Linked DNA regions of Notamacropus eugenii. The protein of the gene in region 1 interacts with the protein of each later gene in a pairwise test. Links are inferred from orthologs where the notes say so. Each region holds a gene or a part of one and is shown in the gene's direction. Other genes may lie near its edges.

The links. The genes of interacting proteins can lie anywhere in the genome.
Region 2: the proteins of PRKAB2 (region 1) and TASOR2 interact in binary tests that used the Homo sapiens proteins (3 or more experiments, as listed by UniProt). The link is inferred for Notamacropus eugenii from reciprocal best matches to the Homo sapiens genes PRKAB2 and TASOR2.

Annotation. Positions count from the first base shown.
Region 1 is NC_092873.1:301,712,252-301,720,344, forward strand, and holds the start of PRKAB2 (5'-AMP-activated protein kinase subunit beta-2), read left to right. Parts: upstream 1-4,859; 5' UTR 4,860-5,218; coding exon 5,219-5,380; intron 5,381-8,093. UniProt on the Homo sapiens protein: Non-catalytic subunit of AMP-activated protein kinase (AMPK), an energy sensor protein kinase that plays a key role in regulating cellular energy metabolism.
Region 2 is NC_092874.1:209,470,263-209,477,762, forward strand, and holds the start of TASOR2 (protein TASOR 2), read left to right. Parts: upstream 1-4,366; 5' UTR 4,367-5,017; coding exon 5,018-5,105; intron 5,106-7,500.

The DNA of each region.
Region 1 (8,093 bases):
GGATGACCCATGGCATATGGCCCACAATTGTCCAACATATGGGATTAATGAGGGCATCAGTTTCAATCTACACATTTCTTTTAGAAAAGCTTAATTTCTTTGTTTAAAAAAAGCAAAATAGAAACAACAGTTGTTTTCTTCCAGCACATTGGTGCCCAGTACTCTTTTGTACCCGAAGGGTGTGCACACTCCACTTTGGACACCAGTGCCCTAGGTGACCATGGGTTTCTAGTTCTGTGCGTTTAAAGTTTTGTTTCTTCCCTCAGGCTATATATAACTCCTTCCTGCTGCACCTGGGTCTCTTGCTTCCCTTTGACAGCCTAACTTCATGTACATTGTTTCAGCAAAAGCCTGATGTCAGCTTTACCTGGATATGGGTTCTATGACAGGTGTTCTCTTCACAGCAACTCAGACTTTTTTAATAGCTGTGTTCTGGATTATTCTATCTTCCTGATATTTTTCCAATCCTTTTATAGTGCAGTGGATTTGGTGTCTGACCCCTCCCCATTCCCCTTTCCTGTTCCCTTCTTTTTTCTCTTTGAGCTGGCTGCCCTTGTAGGTCAGGGGTTCCAGAGTGTTCACACTGCTACAACTCACTCTCTGAGGGTCTTTGTGGACACCCTACGGTACAGGAGCTAGATTTATACTACTTATAAAAGAGACTCAATCCCATGCTGATATACTTCCCACTTAACAAATCAGAGAAAATGAGCTCAATTTACTCAGAAACTTTTGCTAAACAGAAGGCAAAGTGAGGGCACATTCTAAGTTCAATATACATGTATCCGTAGAGGGAGGAGAGTAGACACAAACTTACAGAAAGACAGCAGGGAGGTACATCTCCTCCCTAGGAATGCCTGGGTCTGCAGCAATTTATAACTCTGAACTTAGGGCTTTTAATGCCCTTTATCAAAGGTAATCTGCACAAAAGTTTACTAATGACTAGACTATTTTCTCTTAAGATTTAAAGTTTTTGATGTAGTTATAGAAAAGATTTCCTCCAATAAAATAACAAGTGTGGCTTAAATATATGGATTCACTCTCCTAACTCCCACTCCAACAGGCAGGTTGGGTCCCCAGAAAGCAATGACTTCTTCTCCCTTCAGGACTGTATCAGTAACCCTGAGGGGTTGTGTCTTCTTATAGCACATATGGAAACCAGGCATCAGATTTCTGGTGTTCTTCCAACCACTTAAAGCTCCCTAGGTCATAATCTGTTCTGTTCTGCCTCTGACACTTACTCACCTAAGATAAGGAAATAGACAAAAAAAGACAAATCCCGCCCCCCAAAACCCCAATCCACTGTGCAATAAATTCATGGTCATGTGGTGGCTGGGTGGAGAGGTAGTGTACCTGTTCCTGTGCTACTTTTCCTTAAAGGCTCACAGCATTTCCTCCTTTTCACTGAATGCTGACAGGAAGAGAGAGTTTTGTTCATGAGTCTTTAAAAAAAAAAAAAACCCTGCATATGACCTGGGAAAAAGCACTATCCTCACACATTTCTAGAAACAGGCTCACCAAGTATCCAAGTGGATTGGCATCAGGAAGCATATATTGTACATGCTCAAAGAACTGGGGATTTGTTGGCTACTCCTCCCCCCGCCCCATGTTCGGGTGAAGAGGGGAAAACTCTCATGGGAAGTTTGGGCTCAGTAAAAGTTTTACAGCTTCTGGAAAGTCTTCCAGCGTGGTCTCTTCCTTTTCAACTCAGGGCCCAAGTTGGCCCATTTGGACCATTTGATGTGTGTGTGTGTGTGTGTGTGTGTGTGTGTGTGTGTGTGTGTGTGTGTGTGTTGTTGAAAAAATCTATAGGATGTTCATTCAGATGCATGTTGAAACTCTAGGCAATAGACATTTTCATCCGTTTGGTCTTCCCTATATGGATAGACAGATCAAATTCCTTTGAGTGATTAAAAATCTTTCAGGAGGCTCTGCAATGTTTTGGGGATTGATTAAATCAATAAAATAGCATCTGCAAATAGGAACTTGTGGAGGATTTTACCCTCCTCAGCTTGGACTCCGTGCTAGATCTCTATTACAACAACAAATATTTTTGGACAGCAAGCATCTCTGATGCCTCATCTGATGCCAATTTCCAAAGGGTCCCCAAACAGTAATTTCTGTTGTTACCTCTTCCAAGGGATCCTGAAAGATCTTGATGGATGGATGGGAAACATCTTGTAAAAAGAGCCTGTTTTACTGAACCAAGTACTTTTCATAATCAGCAATAATAATTATAGTTAGAATTTATATGGTGTTTTAAGGTTTGCAAAGTGCTTTACAAATGGATGTAGGTGCTATTATTACCCCCATTTTACAGACGAGGAAGCTGAGGCAGACAGATGTTAGATGGCTTGCCCAGGGTCACATAGTTCATATCTGATTTCAGTTATAGCAGCATGCACACTCACTCTGGAACCCCTGACCTACCAGTATGATGACAGGTTATATGAATGAGCCAGCCCAAAGAGAAAAAAGAAGGGAACAGAAAAGGGGAATGAGGAGGGGTCAGACACCAGGTCAGACACAGACTCCAGCTCCAGTGCTCTGTCTGCTGAGCCACCTCATTATCTCCAACAATGAGCACACTGGGATCTTATATTCTACATATTTCACTCCATTTTGATATTGTTGTCAATTGTGCACATTGTTGAATATTGCTATAGAAAGTCTGCTTATTCCCTATTAGTATCACCCTCAAGGACAACCTCAATTCATGCTACTGATCATCTTAAAATTTAATATATAGTTAGGAGGGAAGCTACATGAGTTAGTTAGTGGTCCCTGACATTTTCTCCATCAACATTTCTTTCTGCACTTTTGGTTAACTTTTCCTCCTGCAGATACTTTGTACATCAATCCCTTAATGTCTTCAGAATTGTATAATCTCCAGAACAGATTTCTATACATACTTGATCAAACCCTGCTGCTTTTCCTATGTTTTGTTTTCTTAGTGCTATTTCTACCTCAGGGACTATGATTTTAGGGTTGAAATACAGTGATTCCACTAGGTTTAGAGGTCTGTTGAAATGACTTTTTGGTAAATCATTTCTAGTTTTTTTTATTTCTAATCTTCTTTTCATTTGCATCCTTGAATGCTATCGGGATGACTTTGTTTAGTTGGCTATCTTGCCACGCTTTCTTTTAACTCCTTTGAGCCTCTCTTGCTTTTCACTGCTTTATGAGAAGGTATTCCTCATAATCATTTATAATTCTTCTTTATAACATTTTTATAGAGTTCATATTCTAGCCTGGTATTGTCTTTGGCAGATATTTCTCTGGCAAATCAAATGAGCATTCGATGAGCAAGGCATTTTTCTGGAGTCCTTCATTCTCTGTGTAGGAATTAATTTACATTGGTTTAACTTCTGGATGAAATTATGGCAATGTTGTCATTTTTTCCCCTGAAGAGCTTATAAGAACCTTTTCTAAGTTGTCTTGCCTTTTGAAATGTAGACACTTTCATTTTTTTACTGTTATTTGGTGCTCATCATATCCTGCACCCACCAATTTTGAGGCAAGAGTTCATCGCAGAGTCTTTGGGCTGGGTCATCTCTAGTTGTCTGAATTGTTATCCGGTCACTGCACCCAGATGGCTCTGGAGAAGAAAGTGAGGCTGGTGACTTTTCTCAGCACTCTCTCACTCAAATCAAAGTAAACTTCAAGTCATGTTATCATCTACCTGATGTCATGGTGCTTTTGGAGAATGAAAGACAAACCACAATTCTCTGGATTTCCTCAATTCTTTCTTTAAAACCATACTTGACCCTATATATCTCACCTTGTCCTGTCTTTGAATTAAAATCAACATTCACTCTGCTACTTGATTAATGTAAAGCTGGAAAAAAGGTGAGAAAGGAGAGATGTACATGGCCCACTGTGGTTCAGAAGAAAGAACTGAAAAAGTCCAAAGACTTGTAGATTTGACAGAAGCCACAAGCTTCTGTATCATGAACTCTTCCTTCAGAATTGTTGTGTGCAGCATATGGAGAGCCCCATAAACATAGTAAAGAATGAAACTGTGCATTTCAGTAGGCAAGAAAGCTTATTATTAAAGTGGGAGCTATTCCTCAGTTAGCTGTCTGTGCACACACTGCTAACTCTTCACCGTCTGATCAGAATTTTTAATAAGCAAACAAAAAAAAATTAACGAGAGATACTGCCTAAGAGCGAAGTCAGCAGAACCAGGAGAACATCATATACAGTAACAGGAAGACTGCATGAGGAGCAGCCATGAAGTACTTAGCTGAGAATGGCAGTACAATGATCTAAGACAATTCCAAATTGTGAAAAATACTCTTCATCTCCAGGGAGAACTGATGAACCGAGTGCAGATTAAAGCAGACTTTTAAAATTTGTTTCTTGGTTTTTGTCGTTGTTAACTTTTTGCAACATGGCTAATATGCAAATGTTTTGTTTGATTTCATACTTAGGATCAGTACCATATTCTTTACCTTCTTAAAGTGATAGAAGGGAGAGAATTTGGAATTCAGTATTTTTTTAAAAAATGAATGCTGAAAATGTTTTAAAATGTAATTGGGAAGTAATTAACAAAAAAAAGTAGCAGTAGTTCACAAGATATAGTTTGAATTATTTTTAAAAATGGGACACATAACATAACTGCCACCGACGTCCCCCTCCCCCAGGTCCTCAGCTTCTCCCTCTGTCCAAGGGGCGGGCTGGACCCTACGACCTCACCGGGCTTCACACTTAGACTGTGAGGCTGGGGAGCAGAGAGGCGGCCCCTCCCCTCCGCGGGCTCCACCCCTAGGACCACGCCCACCGAGGCACCTCCACTACCATTGAGAACAAGCCCGCCCGCCTAGAGAGGCACGCGTGGGGGAGGGCCGAGGAGGACCCGGCGGCTTCCTCGCCATTTTAGGAGGAAACGCGAATCGTCAGCCCTTCCGTTTCAATAACTTTATTGAGCCCACAGGCCGGGCGCAACCACCTCTGCGCACGCGTGCGGCCGCCTTCCCGCCCCACCCCCTCCCGGGAGGAGGGCGCTCCGCTGCCCAGACGAATGGGGCTGCATCTTTGGTGGGGGGTGGCTGTCCCGGGGAACTCTCGGAGAGCAGTGGGAGGAAGGCAGGGGATCCCGGGCTCCTGCTCGCCGTCTTCCCCGAAGAAGGAGGGGGTGGTGCCCTGAGGAGGCCCAAGAACGAGCGGCGGAGGAGGACAAACCCATCCCCCCCCTGCTGGGGACCTCCGAGCCGCCATGGGCAATACCACGAGCGAGCGAGTGCCAGGGGAACGCCACGGCTCCAAGTCCCACCGCGCCGATGGCGCCGGTGGCCAGGCGCACGGCAAAGAGCACCCGCACAAGATTATGGTGGGCAGCACGGACGACCCGAGCGTCTTCAGCGTACCCGACTCCAAGGTGCGCGGCGCTCGCGGCGGAGGGCAGGGTTCCGACCCCGCTCAGCTCCCCTCCCCGGGCGGTGTGCCTGGGAGGCTGCTCAGTTTCTCTAGTCTGCTCAGTTTCTCTAGTCTGGTCAGTTTCTCTAGTCTGCTCAGTTTCTCTAGTCTGGTCAGTTTCTCTAGACTGGTAAGTTTCTAGTCTGGTCAGTTGCAGCAGAACGCCTGGGCGCGCTGCCCTCTCGCGGTGTGCTCGGCCTTGGTGTTTGCCAAGGCTTCTGTGGGAGCCGTTTTCTAGGGTCTGAAGAGTTATCCGTGGTGGAAAATGGACTGACCGGCTAGTGCAGCGGGGCAGATGAGGGAGGCTCAGCCGGCTCTCTTAAGCCAAGCGCGCAGGGACCATCCTGGAATCCCAAAGCAGGCCTTGGCCTCAAGGAGCATCCATTCTAGTGGAAGAGAACGTGCCCTCAGCTATGTATGGACAAGATATAAAAAGTGAAAGGGATGTCTTGCCGGGGGGGGGGGGGGGGGGGGGAAGGCTTTTTTGCAAAAGGTGGGTTTTGACCTGAATCTTAAAGGAAGCCAGGTGGTAGAAAAGACTATTGGACAGCCAGGTCAGAATAATGGGAGTATCTTGTTCGAGGAACAGCAAGGAGCCAGTGTCAGTAGATCAGAGAATGGGTGGAAGGGAGAGAAGTGTAAGAAGACTGGAAAGGTAGGGAGGACTAGGCTGTGGAGGGGTTTAAAAGCCAAACAGGAACACACATGTATTTGTGTGTGTGTGTATATGTGTGTGTGTGTGTGTGTGTGTGTATATACACACACACACATAATATATATTACACACATATACATACATATCCTGGAAGTAATAGGGAGTGTTAATTTTTTTTTTAATTGATCTACTTGTTGGATAGTCTTTTCTTTCAGTGAGAAGAAGAGTACTTTATTTACTAAGTAGAGGAGGGCTTTAGAAAGGTTGCTTTGGCTGCAGATTTAGGGGGAAATAGTAGGGAGAGCAGCCAGCACGTTGTTGAAATAGTCCAGGCATGAGTTGATGAGCCAGGTGGTGATTGTTGAAGGAGAGAAGGTCAAGTACAGGAGTGTTGATGCTAAGGTAGAAACAAGCAGGCTTAGCTCCAGATTGGATGGATGTGTGGGCTGAGTGGAAGTGAAGAGCTAAGTGATTTGGAAGCCTGGGTCACTGACAGGATTGCAAGGGAAAACTATGCATCAATTGGAACTGCCTGTCTAAATCAGGGATTCTTGTTTTTGTGTGTGTCATGAACCTCTTTGCCAAGCAAGTCTATGGATCTCTTGCCTGAATTAATATTTTTAAATAACTGAAGGAAATGCTGAATTTCAGGTAGAGGTTAGTGAAAAGTAAAATGTGATTCTGTTCTCCTCCCCTCATACAAGTTTGTTGATCTTCTGAAAACCAGAGGGTGGAGGAAAAGGGGCTAGGGTCTCCTAGAAGGCCAGATATAAAGGTTACTCTTGGGATCCTTCTACAGTGACTTACTTGACAAGTAGAAGCTCTGAGAGGAATGTTGACTTTTTTATTTGAAAAACACCTGAGGGTTTTACTGAACCACAAATTCAATATGAGAACAGTATTACATAGCCCAAAGAGGGGTGGGGAACATGTGGCCTTCTAGATCCTCAAGTGTAGAACTTTGACTAAACCCAAATTTCACAGAACAAATTCTTTTAATCATTTAATCCTTTAAAGAGATTTGTTTTGTGAAGCTTGGATTCAATCAAAGGTCTGCACTTGAGGATCTAGAGGGCCACATGTGGCCTTGAGGCCACAGGTTCCCCACCTCTGGCCTAGGAAAATAATTCACTCATAATTTGGGGCTGGAGTGGGGGATTGTACATGTTGTATTCAGTTCAAATTCACAGTTTAGGAAGGCCATTGAGGAGACACCGTGGTGTAGTGGAAAGGGCTTATGTAGTTACATTAGACCCGTGTAGACCTGGTTCAAATCCCATCTACTTAAGTATGACCCTGGACAAATAAATCACTTGGTTTCTCTGTGCCTTAATTTCCTTGTCTGTAAAATCTGGGAGTTGGACTTGATAACTCTAAGATCCCTCCTAGCCCTGAATCTTTGATCTTAGGAAGCTGGAGAATGTCCAAAAGGACTGTAGGCATGCCCTGAAGATGATGATTGGTTGAGGACCAGGAGGATGTTTCAGCCTGAAGAAGAGAAAACTTTAATGGAGATGTGATAGCTGCTTTCAGGTATTCTCATGGGCAGTCATGTGAAAAAGTGGATTAGATTAGTTCTTCTTGGCCCCAGGACAATAAACTGGGTATTGCGTGTGGCAATTATAGGGAAGGAGTTGACAAGTCATTGTAAAGAAAAACTATACAACCAGGAGAGCTGTCCATAAATGGATTCCTTGGCTGTAGGAGGAAATGGATTTTCCTTTAATAGATCCTCCAGCAGAGTGTAGATGACCACTTGTCTGCTCAAGTCAACAAGCATTGATTGCTTACTATGGGCCAAGCACTGTGCTAACCCAAAGAGGGTCAGGAGGACATCCTGGAGAGGAACGAAGGAACTATCTCAGATGTTTGTTGCTCAGGGCCTTCTTTTCCTGGGCTTGGGCTGTCTTCCCTCTCCCTCCTAGTAGAACTTTTTGAATAATTAAAGTCAGTGTGATGGGTGGGTTTTGTTTCGTTTTTCTAGGTGAGTCTCCTGATTTGGGGGCTAAAGCACACAAAA
Region 2 (7,500 bases), on another chromosome or scaffold:
TTCAATTAATTAATTTTTAGTTTTCAACATGCACTTCCATAAGTTTTTTAATTTTCTCCCCCTCCCTCCCCAAGATGGCATGCAATCTGATATGGGCTCTACACATACATTCCTATTCAACACATTTTCACATTAGTCATGTTGCATAGAAGAATTATAACAAATAGGAGAAACCATGAGAAAGAAAACAAAACAAAACAGACAATAGTCTGCTTCACTCTGCATTCCAACTCCATAGTTCTTTGTCTGTATGTGGATGGCATTTTCCATCATGAGTTCTTTGGAATTATTTTAGGTCCTTTGCCCCTAAATTAATAAAGTAGCAGGGAAGTTCCAGGAAGAAGACAATAAGTAGATTGAAGTTCATAACTATTTGAAACATTTATTAAATTTCTTTGACTTTTCTGTGTGGTTTTAAACTGCCACCATATGACAAACATTCAAAATAAGTCCTTTCAGGTATCATCCTATGACTGAACCATCAATTGCCTTGCTCCTCCAGGGTTTTTCTTTACTTCTCTATGAGGAGTTAATAGAGGTAAACCCCAGTTTATACAGCAGACTTTTGGGTTCAGTTATCATATACTGACAATGAGCCCCTCTTTGCCCCTCAAATTTCTGTCTCTTACTTTGTCATTGTTTATTTTAGTGTTCTATAAAATATGTTATCAGATCGATGGACACCGGAAGAATTTATGACCAAACATTACAAGACATAAAATGGATGATTTTTATTATATTAAATTTCAAAAGTTTTGTGCAAAGAAAACCAATACAGCCAAGATTAGAAGGAATCTCTCACAAGCTGGTTACAGCTGGCTCTAGAACAGACCTCCACAACTTGGCAAGTAGGTAGGGGCCAAAATTAAAATAGGCTAAATTTCTTTGGGCCACAGATAGGTTAGACTAGAGACAGAGTGATGATGGCTATTTACCATGGGTCACATAACAAACAGGAGAGTACACATGGCAACCCTACATTTTTTGCAGGCTGACCAAAATTCTTTAGTGGACTGTAAGTGGCCCACAGACTGTATGTTGTGCAGGCCTGCTCTAGTACATCCACTTGTACATCTAGCACAAGTGGTCAAAGGGTAGGAACAGGCAGTTTTCAGACAAAGAAATCAAAGCTATGTATAGTCATATGAAAAAATATTCTGAATAACTATTGATTAGAGAAATAATAATTAAAGCAACTCTGAGATACCATCTCACACCTATCAGATTGGCTAATATGACAGAAAAGGAAAATGATAAATTTGAGGGGAGATGCGGGAAAACTGAAACACTAATCCTTGCTGGTGAAATTGTGGACTCATTCAACCATTCAATTTGGAACTATGCTCAAATGGCTATAAATCTATGTATATCCTTTGACCCTGCAATACCACTACTGGTCTGTATCCCAAAGAGATCAAAACAAAAAGAAAAAGTGCCCATTCATACAAAAAAAATTTATAGCAGCTCTTTTTGCAGTGGCAAGGAATTGAAAATTGAGGGGATGCCTATCAATGGAGAATGACTGAATAAATTGTGGTATATGATTATAATGGAATTCTATTGTGCTATAAGAAATGATAAAAAAGGATGCTTTCAGAAAAACTGGAAAGACTTACATGAACTGATGCAAAGTGAAGTGAATAGAACTAGGAGAATATTCTACACAGTAGCAGTAATATTATGATGATCAACTGTGAATGACCTAGGTATTCTTAGAAATACAATGATCCAAGACAATTTCAAAGGACTCATGGTGAAAAATGCTATCCACCTTCCAGAGAAAAAACTGATGGAGTCTGAATACAGATTGAAGTATTCTATTTTTCACTTTGTTTTTTTTCATGTTTTTTGGAGGGAGGGTTTGTGTCTTCTTTCACAACATGACCAATGTGGAAATATGTTTTGCCTGATTGCAACCTATTTTAACCTATTTTAAATTGCTTGCCATCTCAGAGAGAGGAGAGATGGAGGAAGAAAGGAGAGAATTTGGAATTCAAAATTTTAAAGAAACAAATATTAAAAATTGTTTTTACATGTAATTGAAAATATCAAAATGTATTAGTGGCCACTAATTTTATTTTGTTTTGATATTATTTGTAGTAACAGAGGTTTGAGAGGGCTAATTCTCTACAAGACTAGGAGATGCCTGTAGGCATCCCTCCTTCCCCATCCCCACCTCCCAGAAGAAAGTGTGGCTGAGCAATGGTCACTTCCCACAAACTCTAAATCCAGTTGATATGACAGCTTTCTAAGACAATCCAAGATGAATAAAAAACAGAGAGATCTATATTATCTGAAGTCATAAATTCCTTTACAAAGGACAAAGGATTCACCATAAGGAAGGAACTGCTCCCCTAAAATCTTTCCATGTCGGTAATCCCTACCATATACATAATGGCTTTATCTAGGATAATTTTGAATCCCTTCACATTTGCAGGGACCCATTGGAGATACTCTCCACCCAGGACTAGATACCCTGAAATTTCACTAAGGATGATTTGGTATTTCATTTGAGAGTAATAAGAAGAATGGCATTTATATCATACCATAGGGTTTACAAAGTACTTTATAAATTTTATCTCATTTTATCCTCACAGCAGACTTGGGAGGTAGGTGCTATTTTACAGGCATGCAGAGATCAAGGAACTCGCACAGGGTCACAACTTCTACTGTCTGAGACTAGATTTGAACTCAGTTTTCCTTGATTCTAAGTCCAACATGCTGTCCACGGTACCATGTAGTTCCCCAGTAAGATGAATGAAAAACCCAAAAGCCAGTGTTTCTGGGTAATTAATAATCAATGTATTAATTAGGCTAGCTGCTAATAAATCGATGGTCCGCGGTAACCAAAGATGGAGATATTCAATGCCTTAATATACTTTTAGAGAAGTGGGTACCCTTGACAGGTAAAAGTCAAACCTGATTGGTGAATAACTAATAAGGGGGTGGGGTTTTCAAATGAGGAGGTGGGGCAAAAGCCTTCAGCTCCTCTTGCTGAGAAAGAGGTTTGATCTCGAGACTCCGCTGCCTCCAGCCATCTGACAAAGGAAACCATCTCTATCTACCCAGACGTCTCAGGTTGGTTTTCACTTTCATGACCTGGATTACGCCAGACTTCAATGGAGAGGTACACGACCTGGGGCTTAATGCCTGGAGGCTGGAATTCACCTCCCTTAGATTCTGTTTACATTTTAAACAGAAATAAAGTCTCCTAGTTGGGTGGGTTCCCTCCCAAGAACAAAGCTTACTTTACTAGAGAATTATGCCCTTCTGAGACTGACTTGGAGGGGCTGTTCTCTGAATGAGAAAATAGAAAAAGCCTTCATCCTAATTTAATAATTGGTTATCAATATAATAGAAAATAATAATTTCTCTCCCTGGTTGTTAAGGCCCTGAAGGGAAAGGCCCACATGCTCTACCTAGTAAATTCCGTATTGACCAGGTTGACATCTAAGATAAGATATTTTTTCCTTTTTGTTTTCTTTATTGCCTTCGCATTGGGCAAGGCCATGGTGAGTACCAAGACCAGACTTGGGGGTTGGGTTTTTAACAAGCAGAACCTCTACAAACATTGGTTCATGTTTATTGGATCTGCGTAACTCCATGTTTGGGGACGACTGTCATTTCTACCTGCGTGTGTAGGAATGTAAAAAATCTTTGTCATTGACTGTCTTACAAAGATGTTTTCGTGTATGGGACTAGAGAAGTAAGCCAAGCTTATGCCGGGGTCGCAGTATGAACGATGAATTAAAAATGCATCTATGATGGGCTTAGAATGCTCCCCTCTAGGCGCTCAAAAATTATTTTTGTACACACGTATGTATGTGGTGAAAAGTTTACAGGCCTCAAAACTGTGGAAGCACCTAAAGAGGGGGCACCTTAAGGTTGGCTTCTTTTGCGTCCCCCACGCGACCCACCGTGCTGGGGCCAGGCTTTTAATACCTGACACACACACTTCTCGTTACTTTATAAGGAAACTGGGATGCTAGATTCCAACGAAGCCAAGGTGGGTTCCGCCAGCCCCGAGCGGGCCGGGAGGGTAGGGAGAAATCCCTCTACAAAGAGGCTCTTTTGGGGGGCTTGGTTTCCTGGCAACTCTCCCACCTCCGGGCCTTCCTTTTCCTTGCAGTGTACTTCCGCTTCCGCCTCCCTTCCTTTTGTCTCTCCCTTTCCCTCTTCCTCCTCCCATCCTCAGGGGCCGAGCCCCGAGGCCACGCCTGCCCCATGCTGCCGGGGGGTGGGGGTGGGGTCAGACGGGAGGGAAATCGGCGCGTAGAGGGGCACTCGCAGGGCGAGATAAGGGACTGAGGGTCGGTTTGGCGACTGAGGACGCGGCGCCCGGACGCCGAGGGGGGCCCCGCCCTGCGTCGGGGAGCGCGGCGTTGCCCTGGGTTGCCCGCCCACTCGTGACGCCATAGTTCAGTTTTCACTTTCTTTTTTTTCTCGCTCCCGGTCTGGAAGGTTTCACTTCCGGTTGCTCAGTGGCGCCCAAGCCAACCCTCCCAAAGGCGGTCGACATGTTTCCTTTGGCTAGGTAGAAGAAAGGGTTTGCCTTCTTCTTCCCTCTCCAGAACGAGGGATCCTCTAGAACCGTCTCCTGGCCACCCCCTCCCCCCACTCTTAGGGCCGACTTGGCATAGACTCCTTTTTGGAATCTTCAGTCCTCCGGACTGCGGGGATCGCTCGGCAGCCACGACTCAGCCCAGGTGCTGAAACTCCCCAGCTCCTCTGGCTTCTCGCCGCCCCACCCCCACCTTCCGCTCCGGGCGCCCTTGGACAGAGGACGCGAGGGGAGTAAGGGCCCGCGGGGTTAGTGCTGCTGGGGCCGGGCCCAGCGCCGAGGGGAGACGCGTGCGGGAAGCGAGGCCCATGAAGCCTTAGGAACAAAAGCGAAGACTCGGAGCAAACGGAGAGCCGCGTGGAGCTCCTGGTTTCTGTGGAGATGAAAGCCATCCTCTAGTGGAGAGAAAGCTCCTTCAGCCACGAGACCCGGCGTGCGCATGTTAGGAAGGAAGTAATGAAACCTAACAGCCCGAGAGAGGAAATGAACAATGACCTGGAGACTATGGGGACCTCGGCAGTGGCAGTAACAGCACCTGAGACAGGTGAGAACCCGAGCAGGTGTGGGTGCCGCTGAGTGCCCCGTATGTCAGGTGGAGGAGAGGTCCCAGGGTGCGAAGAGGCTGGACGGAGGAGAAACCTGCCTGCCGACGCCGGACGGGGGCTCTTCTCGTTGGTGGTTGGGGGGTTTTGTGGATTAAAGAGAACTCAGGACAGGTTTTGTGTTACCGTGTGCTGCCTAGGTTAACCTGCCCGGCCCTTTCAGAGGAGTGGCTTTGGTTTGGTTTCTTTGTGATTGGATTGTTACGGAGGGAAAACGTGGTTCCTTGAGAAGAGCAAAACAGATGGAAGGTTTGGGTATGGGCTCAAGTCCGGCCTTCTCGTGTGACCTTGGCCAAGTCCTGTAACCCCTTTGGGCCTCCGTTTTCTCATCTGTAAATTGAGTTCGGATTAAATGGCCTCTAAAGGCCCCTTCAACTTTAAGTCTTAGGATGAGCGTTGAACTTATGATTGTAAACCATTCTGAATCAGAGGCTGGTTTTGGTTTTTTTTTTTTGCTTTTCACAAGATACAGGATGAGACTTGGTCTTACACCTGTGTAACTTAATTATTTGGATTGTTTTCGAAGGTTGCAGAGGGAAAAAAGGTCAGTAGTAGTGTCAGATGACAAGATTAGGCAGGATGACAACATTTGCCCGTTATCTTACATATTCACTTTAACTCAGCCAACACACTAGGGAGCCAACGGAAAGCATCATGCATTATTCAATGTTAACCAACTTGATGACCTCACAACAGGTAGGTGCTGTTTTACAGTTGAGGTTACTCTCATTTTACAGATTTGGAAACTGATTCTTGGAGAGGTTAAATGACTATGCCTAGGGTAATTTATCTAGTAAGGGTTTGGATTCTGTATTTGAACTAGGGTCTTCCCAATTCCAGGCCCAGCACTAGGTGTGGCCCTGCTGCCTTTAAGCACCTGGCGGTGGGGCAAGGCGGTAGAAAAGTCAGATGAATACATCCTTGCTCTTGTGGAGGAGTGTGTGAGGTATAGCTTCCTTTTAATCATTTCATCTTAGTAAATGAGAGAGACTTTGATAATGAGCTTCCTCCAATTCAGGATGCTCTGCATCCTGTAAGTATTGCAAGATATACTTAGTGACCATTCCTATCATTAAACTTAAAAGGGAGTATGAATTTTGTTTTGGTTTTTGATCGTTTATGTAGAGCAAACATTTCCTTTTGGGATTGGCATTTCATAGTTTTTTATCTGGAGAGCCTGGAACAGAGCTTCGTTTTATTTCTTAAGCATAATTTTCTAAAGGAGGATTAGAAGGAAAAAGTTCTTTATCAGTAGAAATAACATGGATATTTCATAGATACATGAATATCTGAGTATATGAAATAATATGGATATTTCATAGATTTTCCACAATGACTACATTTTGCTAATTTAAAAAATAACTTAATTTGACTACCATTTTTTTGATATGTAGAAACACATTTTTTGTAAATTATATATGGTAAACTTACAGAGGCAGGTCATTCTTCTCCCTTCTCCCCATTCCTTCCTTCCTTCTTTCCAGTCCCCTCACTCTGCAGTGTCATCTTAGTATAGGCATACTTTACATATGGTTTGCTGAAATTATGACTTTAGGCCCACTTGGATTTGGGTTTAGGAGACCAGTTGACTCAGGTTTTTATTTGGCTATGTAATCCTGGTATAGTCACTTAGCTCTCCTAACCTCAGTTTCTTTATCTGTAAATGGGGATAGCAATACTTGTATTACCTCTGAGGGTTGTTATCAAGATTTTAAGATTTGCTATATTAATGTGAGTAGTAATAATTTATTATAATAATGCATTTATCAAATGAGATAACATGTACACTGCTTTGCAGACTTTAAAGTACAGTACAAATTGCTAGCTATTGTTATTAACTAAAATTAATGTTTTGATAATTTGCATTATGCATGTATTTGAGCCTGGTAAATTTTTGATGATTTTCAAATTAAGGGAAGTGGGTGTCAACAATAAAATCTCTAGTACCCATTATTCTTGACATTCTACGTATTGAACAAATGTTGTTCAAGCAAATATTGTCAGGTATTGGACACATACTCGACAGTTCACTTCATTAAGTCTTTTAATTAAAAATGCATTTTATTGATGCCTTTTGTCTTTACATCAGAGTTATTTCAACTCCCTTCTCCAGATTGAACTTTTCTCTTGTGAAAAAGAAAGAACAATTATGCAAAAAAGCATCCAATACTGTGACTACATCTGACAATCTGTACAATATACTGTTCTAGTAGTCCCCCACTTCTCTGCCAAGAGGGAAGAGGTATGTTTTGTTATCTGTTCTCTGGGACCATCATTGCTTTTTACTTTATTCAGAGTTTGACTGCCTTTTAATTTAATTGCTCAACTTCTCATTGA